Xenopus tropicalis: one gene and its partner. The protein of the gene in region 1 purifies or fractionates together with the protein of each later gene. This does not show direct contact. Links are inferred from orthologs where the notes say so. Each region holds a gene or a part of one and is shown on either strand. Other genes may lie near its edges. The genes, in order: snap25 and stx12.

Region 1 (4,372 bases):
AAATGATACGCTGTTTATGAAAAGTGTGTGTGCACAAGGCTATTGATGAAACCAGGACAATTGTAATATTCGGATTTCATTGTTTGCCTTCTGACTTGAACAATTAATCACACCTGGACAAATAAAGTGTGTTGGTGAATGCAATGTTGTCGGTTTGTGTTGACTTTGCTTCCCTAGCTCTATTACTAAAAGGCAATGCATATAATAATGTACCAATTACATGAACGTGGTTATGTGCGAAATAACAGCCATTACTTTTCCGACTATTAAAAATTAGTTACAGTGCTCAAAAATTCACTGCAATGCTGTATTAAAGGAGCGCTGCCATACTATACTGCAATACAAGAATCCATGAATCAATAGGCCTGTTTTTTTGTAAATAGCTGTTCCAGTGACGCAGTTTGCAAAAGAGGGACTGGGGTTTCAGTTGCTTACATTAATAAGAAGCACTATAACAATCATTATACACAAATGTATACGTATTACTTTATATCCTGCATTAACCAAAATGTGCCTATGATAATAGGGCAAATTAATGAATGTAAAAGGCTCTGTCTCATAGTCAAATGATATATTATACAGATCACTATATGACATTAGGAGAGGTTTATGCCACATTTGTCACTTCATTTATTTAGCCAGACAGTCTCAAAGCAGGATATTGTACAGGTTGTTGGCCTACTGATCTGAACAAGAGGACTCATCCACAGTAATCCCCTGATATAGCACCTCTATCTGTTTTCCTCAGTACGCATTTCCTGCGTTGTAAAAAAAAAAAAAGAAATGCAGCCTGCCTCGCAATCTCCAGAGATGCATCAAAAATCCAATTCCAAATTCTGATTCTGAATAACCTCTACATTAAAGGGACTTCCATGTACACAAATGCCATCTGTTTCCTTTGCATCATGTTTTATGTATGTAAACACATGAGCGCCCTTTGATTAATGAGTGGAATGGGAGAATCTATTGTAATATACTTCATTTACAGGTCAATAATTTATATGATTATGCTACAGCTACGTTCTACTCAACTCACTAACATTAACGTATTCAGCTGTATTTATCAGCAAATGAATATCCGACAGTCTAAACAAACCTGCAGTACAGAGGTGTTAATAAAACAAGTGAAGAGCATAGAATTAAATATACAGTATATATACACTTTTAACAGGTATACAAATGTCATTGTAATAGCCTTTATCCTGATAGAACACGAGATATAGACCAATCTAGGAGTTTTGTTCTTGCAATGCAAGATACCCGTAACCAGATATCCAAATGTACTGTAATAGCAGTTCAACCAAATCCAACATTATTTGTATTTTTCCCTTGCTACGTGCTGCCATGGTCTGTGCTACAGCAGTGCCCAACTCAGTCCTTGGGAGCTGGCTGAAAAGGTGCATTGGGGTGGGGTCTCTCTGTTTTACAGTCATTCCACAACACATCGCTTTGCATGATGAAACTGCACCATTTGCTATAATATTACTATCAGGGACAGGTGGCAATCTGCTGCAAAATAGATCATTACTGGGTTTCACTGTCAGATGCATTGATTGATCACTGATCATGTGACCAAGTAATACATATCTTATTTATCAGTGAAATGAGATGGGTATAAGACACAAACAAGCTAATAACTGCAGTGCAATTGCTTCTGATAAATATTCTCTTAGGGCGCAGGTTAGTTTTGCCTGTAGAAGTCCCCTGCCGCCCATCTGAGCAGCTACAATGTCTGTGTAAAGGTGAAGCAGCTCTACAAACAATTCCAGCAGCCCTGAATGTGTTCCTCTGCCACTAGGGATGTAAGTCTAGCAGTGCCCTGCCTCCCTCCCTTCTTCAGCTAGAATGCAGATCCCCTCCCCCTCGCTTTCTCTCTAGTGGGTAACAAAACCAGCAGTAATTACTAATGCCCCTGCACGTAAATCTAACAGCTTCAAAGCCTGCCTTTTGACGCAAGTACGCAGAACTGTCTGGACGTGTCACCATTCCCACCCCCCCATTAGTCTTTGAAGTTCTAAGCTCTTCATATAAAAATATATACCTTTACATATGAATTTAATATGAAACATGCGAACATACACTGCACACCTTTATATCCCACACATGAGATATGCAACCTATGCCCCCAACATGCTGTTGTGAAGTTACAAGGCTGTTGGGAGTTTCAGAGTAAGTTGTAGTTCAACAACAGCTGTTTGGACATATCAGATACATATACACTATATCTATCTGTCATTGATCTATCTATCTAGCATGTACCCATCTATCCAGTATCTAACTACACCTTGTTGGAGGTCAGGAACGCGTATACATTCTATAAAGTATGGCAGCTAATGTTAGCAGTGCCCCTGGCACTATCTGATCATAATAATCGCAGCCAGAAGCCCACAAATCTGCTGTGGGGTAAGGTATAGGCTGGAGGCGAGTAAATCCCTTCCCTACAGTACAGCGTGTCGGTGCCAGACGCTGCGGCAGGGAGCGGGCGTTTTTGCTGCACTCACTCTGCAGTAGAGCGCTGTCCGCCGAGCTGCGGTGCTGAAACCGCCCACAAGCACAGTCTATGGGGCTGCTCTCACGTCTATTCCTACAGAGCCGAGCGCTGTGCCCAAAGGGACGCGGAAAAGCCCGATTTCCTTGCGACAAACGCCAAGGATGATTAAATCCCTTGCAGCCTGTGCAACACGAAAATAAATTTGTTCAAAAGCGAGATTAAAAATAACAAAAAAAAAAACGCCGCCTTCCATTCGACTGACAGCCCCAGACCTGATTTGTAGACACATACAACAATCGCAATCTTGGGCTAAAGGTTGGATAAATAGTAATGCAATAGGAAAACGTAGAAGCGACAAGCAGTGGTAGTCTTACCGTGAGTAGGGCGTAACCAGACTCTAAGGCTACTCTACAACCTTATTTGAAGGCAGTATTTGCAGGGAGGTAAGAACCACCGTTCCTGACCTCCTCAAGTCGTCTTCTTCAATGGAACTGAGCTCTGCCCTCATCAAAGATGGCCGTCCTTCTTGACGTCAGCAGCTTTTAATAGACATCTATCATGGGGCGGAGGGATCGGGCTGGGGGAGCTTGAGTCATCGTCTGCCTTACAGTGCTGCAATCCTTCGCATTTTAATATATGCGCCTTGATTTTCGCGCATCGCCCCCTCCCTGACAATGCTGCCGTATAACGGCTCCAAGATGGATTCTTTGCGACTAATGAGCTGCGGGATAGATTGGCTGTACAATGTGAGGGTGGGGGTGCGGCTGGGTGCCTTGCTCTGGGCTAATGCAGCACGGATTTCTTTTCGCCAAAGGGGTGGTGCAAAGGGATATCCCTCTCTGGTGGGTGCTCCTTATATGGGAAACCTACGTGGGCAGCCTGGCTATACTGGCGCTATAAGAGATTTCCTAGGATGCTGCGACTGAATGGGGGGGGGGGGGGGGGGATGCAGGTATAAACACTGGGTTTAGTCATCACTTATAACAGGTTCTAGCATTTCTAGCCAAATTACTTGCTGAGCTTTAGTTACCTTTTAGGTTTAGATCTTCAGACTAATTTCAAGTGGGAAGGGCTGTACTGATCATATAGGCACCCAAGGGCTCTTGCCTAGGGCTGCAGCGTCAGGGGGGCATCTCACAGGTACCTATATTAAGGAATACAGTCATGGGAAAACATGTTGTTTTAAAAAAAGCATTAGCTTCTCCAGCAGGATCCTGCATTGAAATCCATTTTTCAAAAACACATATTTTTTTATATTTCATTTTGAAATTTCACATTGGGCTAGCCATATTCTTCATTTCCCAGGGTGCCACAGCCATGTGACCTGTGCTCTGATAAACTTCAGTCACACTTTACTGCTGCGCCCCAAGTTGGAGTGATATCCCCCCCCCCCGAAGCCGATCAGCAGAACAATGGGAAGGGAACAAGATAGCAGCTCCCGGTATCAGAATAGCACTCAATAGTAAGGAATCCAAGTCCGGCTTGGGACTCCTCCAGTTACATGGGAGTAGGAGAAACAATAGGTTACCTGAAAGCAGTTATAATGTGTAGCGCTGGCTACATCTGAAAGCTCAGACTCTCTGCACTGAGATGGCGCCTACACACCAATATTACAGCTGAAAAAAATACATTTGTTGGTTCAAGAATAAAATTTTAAATGGTGGAGTGAATTATTAGCTATGTAAACTGTGTAATTTAGAAAGTACCCCATAAAAATCATGACAGAATCCCTTTAAATTAAAAAAAAATGAAACATTTCCTTAGTTGTTTTATAATCCTGTAGCGGAACTGAGGGGGAGGAGGGTACCCATTGTTTCCAATCCCTTCCCGAATGGCACATACGCACATACGTTAATAATTAGAACCTGCCCTGTGGGGGAG
Region 2 (4,262 bases), on another chromosome or scaffold:
TTGGCAGAAATTGTAACCAGCATACTTATCTTCACTTTAAAGAGTGTAAAAATAGACTCATATTATAGCCCCATAATACATATGGAAAAGCTATTACTGGCGATTATAATGGGATTCTCATCTGAAATCCTTGTGCATATTTTCAAGGGTGGTCTTTGTGAAAATCACCTGTACTTGTGTATTCCAATGATTCGACCAGAATGGGGGTGGGTCATAAGTGGCCATACTGCCTGTAATAAGAAAACAGTACCTTGTACTTGCATGGTAACTAAATTAGTAAAATCCATGTTGGTAGCAGATTATTTTTTTCCTTTTAACAAATTTAAAAAAGGTACTGAGATCAGTATCATGGGAAGACTTCTTATCCGGAAAACCCCAGGTCTGAAGTCTTCCAGATAACTGATCCCAAACCTGTACAGGTATGGGATCTGTTATCAGGAAACCCCTTATCCAGGAAGTTCCGACTCCCACTGACTCCATTATAAGCCTATAATTCTAATATTTTTTTTAAATGTCCTTTTTCTCTGTAATAACAGAACAGTTACTTGAACTTGATTCCAACTAAGATAAAATTAATCCTTATTGGTAGCAAAACAAGCTTATTGAGGTTAATTTTTAAATAATCTTTTAGTAGACTTAAGCTATGGAGATCCAAATTACAGAAAGATCCCTTATCCATAAAATCTCAGGTCCCTAGCATTCTGGATAATAGGTCGCATACCTGTACCTGTGTTTTTTTTTTTTTTTAATAGAAATTTATATTTATTATTGATATTCCTTTTCTAGGCCATCTCTAATGAGTTACAACTAAAATATTGCACCTTCTTTATTTACCTGTACCAGACTTCAACTTCTTTTTTAGAAATGGCTGCTGTTTTGAAGATGTTGGGCTTTGGGTGTGGTACTGACCCGACAAGGCTGGAAGTACTGTTTAAATCAACCTTGACTAGACAAGTGCCACAGGTAAGTAAAGGGGGTAGGGGGATGCCAGGCTTCAGTGTTAAAGCTTTAGGTTATGGAAGGAACCTTTTTCACCAACAAATTCCTGTGAAAACCTGTAAAGTCTCTGTATAAATTATATTTGCTGAACATGCCCAATAAAACATTACCTATCTGAAAAAGACTATGTAACTTCAACCTGTACCGCACTTCATGACAACAGTGCACCTTATATCAGTATGACACAACAACACACCTTGACAGCATACCGAGAAGCTGAAAACACAGTTATCAGATCTCAGCAGTGTGCTGTTATCAGTGCAGAATAACTGGGCCATTCCAAAACATACAATAACAGTCATTTGTAGGACAGCAGCAATTTTCCTGTAAACACTGCACTGTGCTAGTCTATAATTACAAAAAGAAAAACAGCAGCATAGTGAACAATGAACAAAAAATCTCATTACATGAATTACGTCCTTGCTATATCCACTTTTAATTAGAGGCTCTCACATGGAGTGCACATTTACCACTTCTCATTAAAAATACTGAATATAATTAAGATACTATCATCTCAAAAAAACCTTTTTAAAAAAAAATACCATGTCAGTCCAAGCCTGCTTGAATCACAGTACAATGAATGTTCTGTTATAAAGATAACTAGATTCTCAGCTATAAAGCAAGACAGGACTGACTGCTGCCTTCTTAGACTAAGGACATTAATCATGTGATTTCACTTTCAAATGGAAGCGGAAACATAGGATTTTTAACAAGTAAAAATGTAAGGTATTTTCCCCCCAAATTCCTTTACTTTACTAAACCTAACATGACCAACAGGCAAAGTGTAATTTTGTTAAAGATGCCCCTTTAAGATGGTTAAGGAATGGGTATGTTTGGATAGTAAATGTCTTATGTCTAGTCCAAATAGAGGGAGTGACAAATTGCTCTTATGACGTATTTACTACTATTCCATGGCATCCTTTAATTAAGAGCTGAACACTTGTTTAAGAATGAAACTACACATAGACTTGAAGAACAGAGGCCAGTAGTACCAAGACTCCATATTTATTTATTTACTTACTTCTGGGGGTATGTAATGATTGGCAGAAGTCAATACTGTGAATCTAATACATAATGATATACAAGAAAATACATATTTCCTGCCAAGTCTCATTCATTCAACATGATAAATCACACATTATGAACTCCTATCCTGCTGTCATGCTGGGAGGAAGGAAATATTACAATTTCATGGCCCCTGCCTGACCTGGTGAATCCTGCTTGTGCCCACGCCCAAAATTTTCTCTGAGCTTGCAAAGCAGTGATCAGGCAGTTAGGGGGGAACAAAAAACCCCCATGGAGTAAGGCAGGAATGTAACCCACTCAACACAAATTCAGTAAGCGAGGGTAAAACTGCTCAGCCTGATTTCACTGGTTGCTGAACTACATTTCTACAAATGCTGCCTTTAGGATAATATTGTAATGTGTAGTTTAACCACAGCAAGAGCCCAACCAGGTGACAAGCCTAACAGTAGTAACTTCTTGGTAACAGTAACCCAATCAGGAATCTCCAGTAGGAAATGACTTCCCACTGCACTTAGCTCCCTTCCTGCCTGTCACCCCTGCTTCTCTGTGCCCCTCTGCCAATGAACATGCCAGCTGATAGCTGCTGTACTGTACACCCACCCACCAACCAACACAAGGAAACATTAGTTGATTTTTGTCATTTGCCAACTGTCCAGTCTCCATATATGCAATGCTATATAAATAATTTTCTCTATTTCCAGCTGTGTCAGTATAGCCGCCCTTCCTGTACATCAGTGGGTGTGTAGCACCTGGGAATTACACATAATACAAGGGGCCCATATAACATGTTAATCTCTGTTGTCCAAAAGTTCCCATTGCCAATGGCTAACAATTCGTCCTTCAAATCTCCACCAGTACCCCCATCTATATACTGCGGGTGTGTGCAGCTCGCTGCGATCACGGATATATATACAGGAATAGGACCGGTGCTCTGTAGAAAAACTGGGGATACTGACTGTTATTTGTGATCCTCTGCACATTGCCGCTGCAGGTCTGAATAATGCTGTTGAAGTCCCGGGCACGGCTCTGCTGCTTCATGTACCCAGACATGTTGCTCCTCTTAGGGCCCCGTCCTCCTTTCTGAGTATAAGAGATGGTGGGATGAAGCGACTCTAAGGAAGTCGTGATGTCATAGCCATGTGACCGTGATGTCACGTAGGAATTGTCAGGCTCCTATCAGCGATAAGCGCCTCCCAGTCATGATACCACGTGACAGCTTGGAAAAGATGCTGTTGTTGCCACTCCTTTAAAGAGAACAAGGAATGCAAATGTAGAATTCTGCTGGTTTATAAAAATCAGCAAGTGCGCCTTTGGAGGATGGGGTACTTAATATCCCAGGTCCTGGAGCAATTGCTGGGTCTAATTATTTTTTTTTCCCTACACCCCTAGTACTTGGATTTAATGGAGGGAGATGAGAAATATGCTGGGTGCACATGGGGGACAAGTATTGTGATCTTTAGTAAAATGTTGTTTACCTGTACAACAGGTAAGCAGTTGAAGCATAGTGTGTGATATGTATGTTCAAGGCTGCTGTTAAAGGGCAAGGTGATATATACAGGAATTATATATGAGTGATGTGTAGGCTGGGACTGGCAATCTATGGGTTCTGGCAAATGCCAGAGGAGCTGCTGTAAGATGTTATAGACAGTTAATATTTATTGGGCTGGTAGAGGGCTGTTTGGACCTCTTGTGTACTTGAAATGCCAGGGCCTATTTTGACTCCCAGTCTGGACATGGCGATGTGTAATATCTGTTGGACTTCTTGGGAACTCTGAATGCTGAGGGAGGGCAGTTTGGTAAGTCCATCAGTGCCAGTGGATAGCAGCGTTTTATGTATGGATGTTTCTGGGGGTTGCTAGATAAGAACTGTGATTGGTTATTTGGTAGCCCCTATGAGGACTGGCAGCATACAGGAGGCTCTGTTTGGCAGTACACCTGGTTTTTATGCAACTAAAAATTGCCTTCAAGCCAAAAATTAAAAAACAAGCACCTGCTTTAAGACCCCCTGGAGAGACATCTAGGGTTAGCGAGCACTATGTTGCTCACAAGCCACTGGTTAGGGATTACTGTTCTTACAGAGGCAAGTGATGAGTATTGTGCCACGCAAAAATCTTTGCGTCACTGCATTTTGAATCATCTTTAAGAAAGTATTGTGTGTGTGGGAGGTAGAAATACGGTAGTTTGAATTAGCAGAGGTGCGCCAGGAATTTTTAAAAAAAGACCCCTTAACTGCTCTC

What was found.
Region 2: the proteins of snap25 (region 1) and stx12 purify together in Homo sapiens (co-immunoprecipitation; 3 studies listed by BioGRID and IntAct, with this or other methods). This does not show direct contact. The link is inferred for Xenopus tropicalis from reciprocal best matches to the Homo sapiens genes SNAP25 and STX12.

The regions. Positions count from the first base shown.
Region 1 is NC_030681.2:26,669,144-26,673,515, reverse strand, and holds the start of snap25 (synaptosomal-associated protein 25), read right to left. Parts: upstream 2,934-4,372; 5' UTR 2,866-2,933; intron 1-2,865.
Region 2 is NC_030678.2:83,638,758-83,643,019, forward strand, and holds the start of stx12 (syntaxin-12), read right to left. Parts: upstream 3,097-4,262; 5' UTR 3,076-3,096; coding exon 2,982-3,075; intron 1-2,981. UniProt on the Homo sapiens protein: SNARE promoting fusion of transport vesicles with target membranes. Together with SNARE STX6, promotes movement of vesicles from endosomes to the cell membrane, and may therefore function in the endocytic recycling pathway.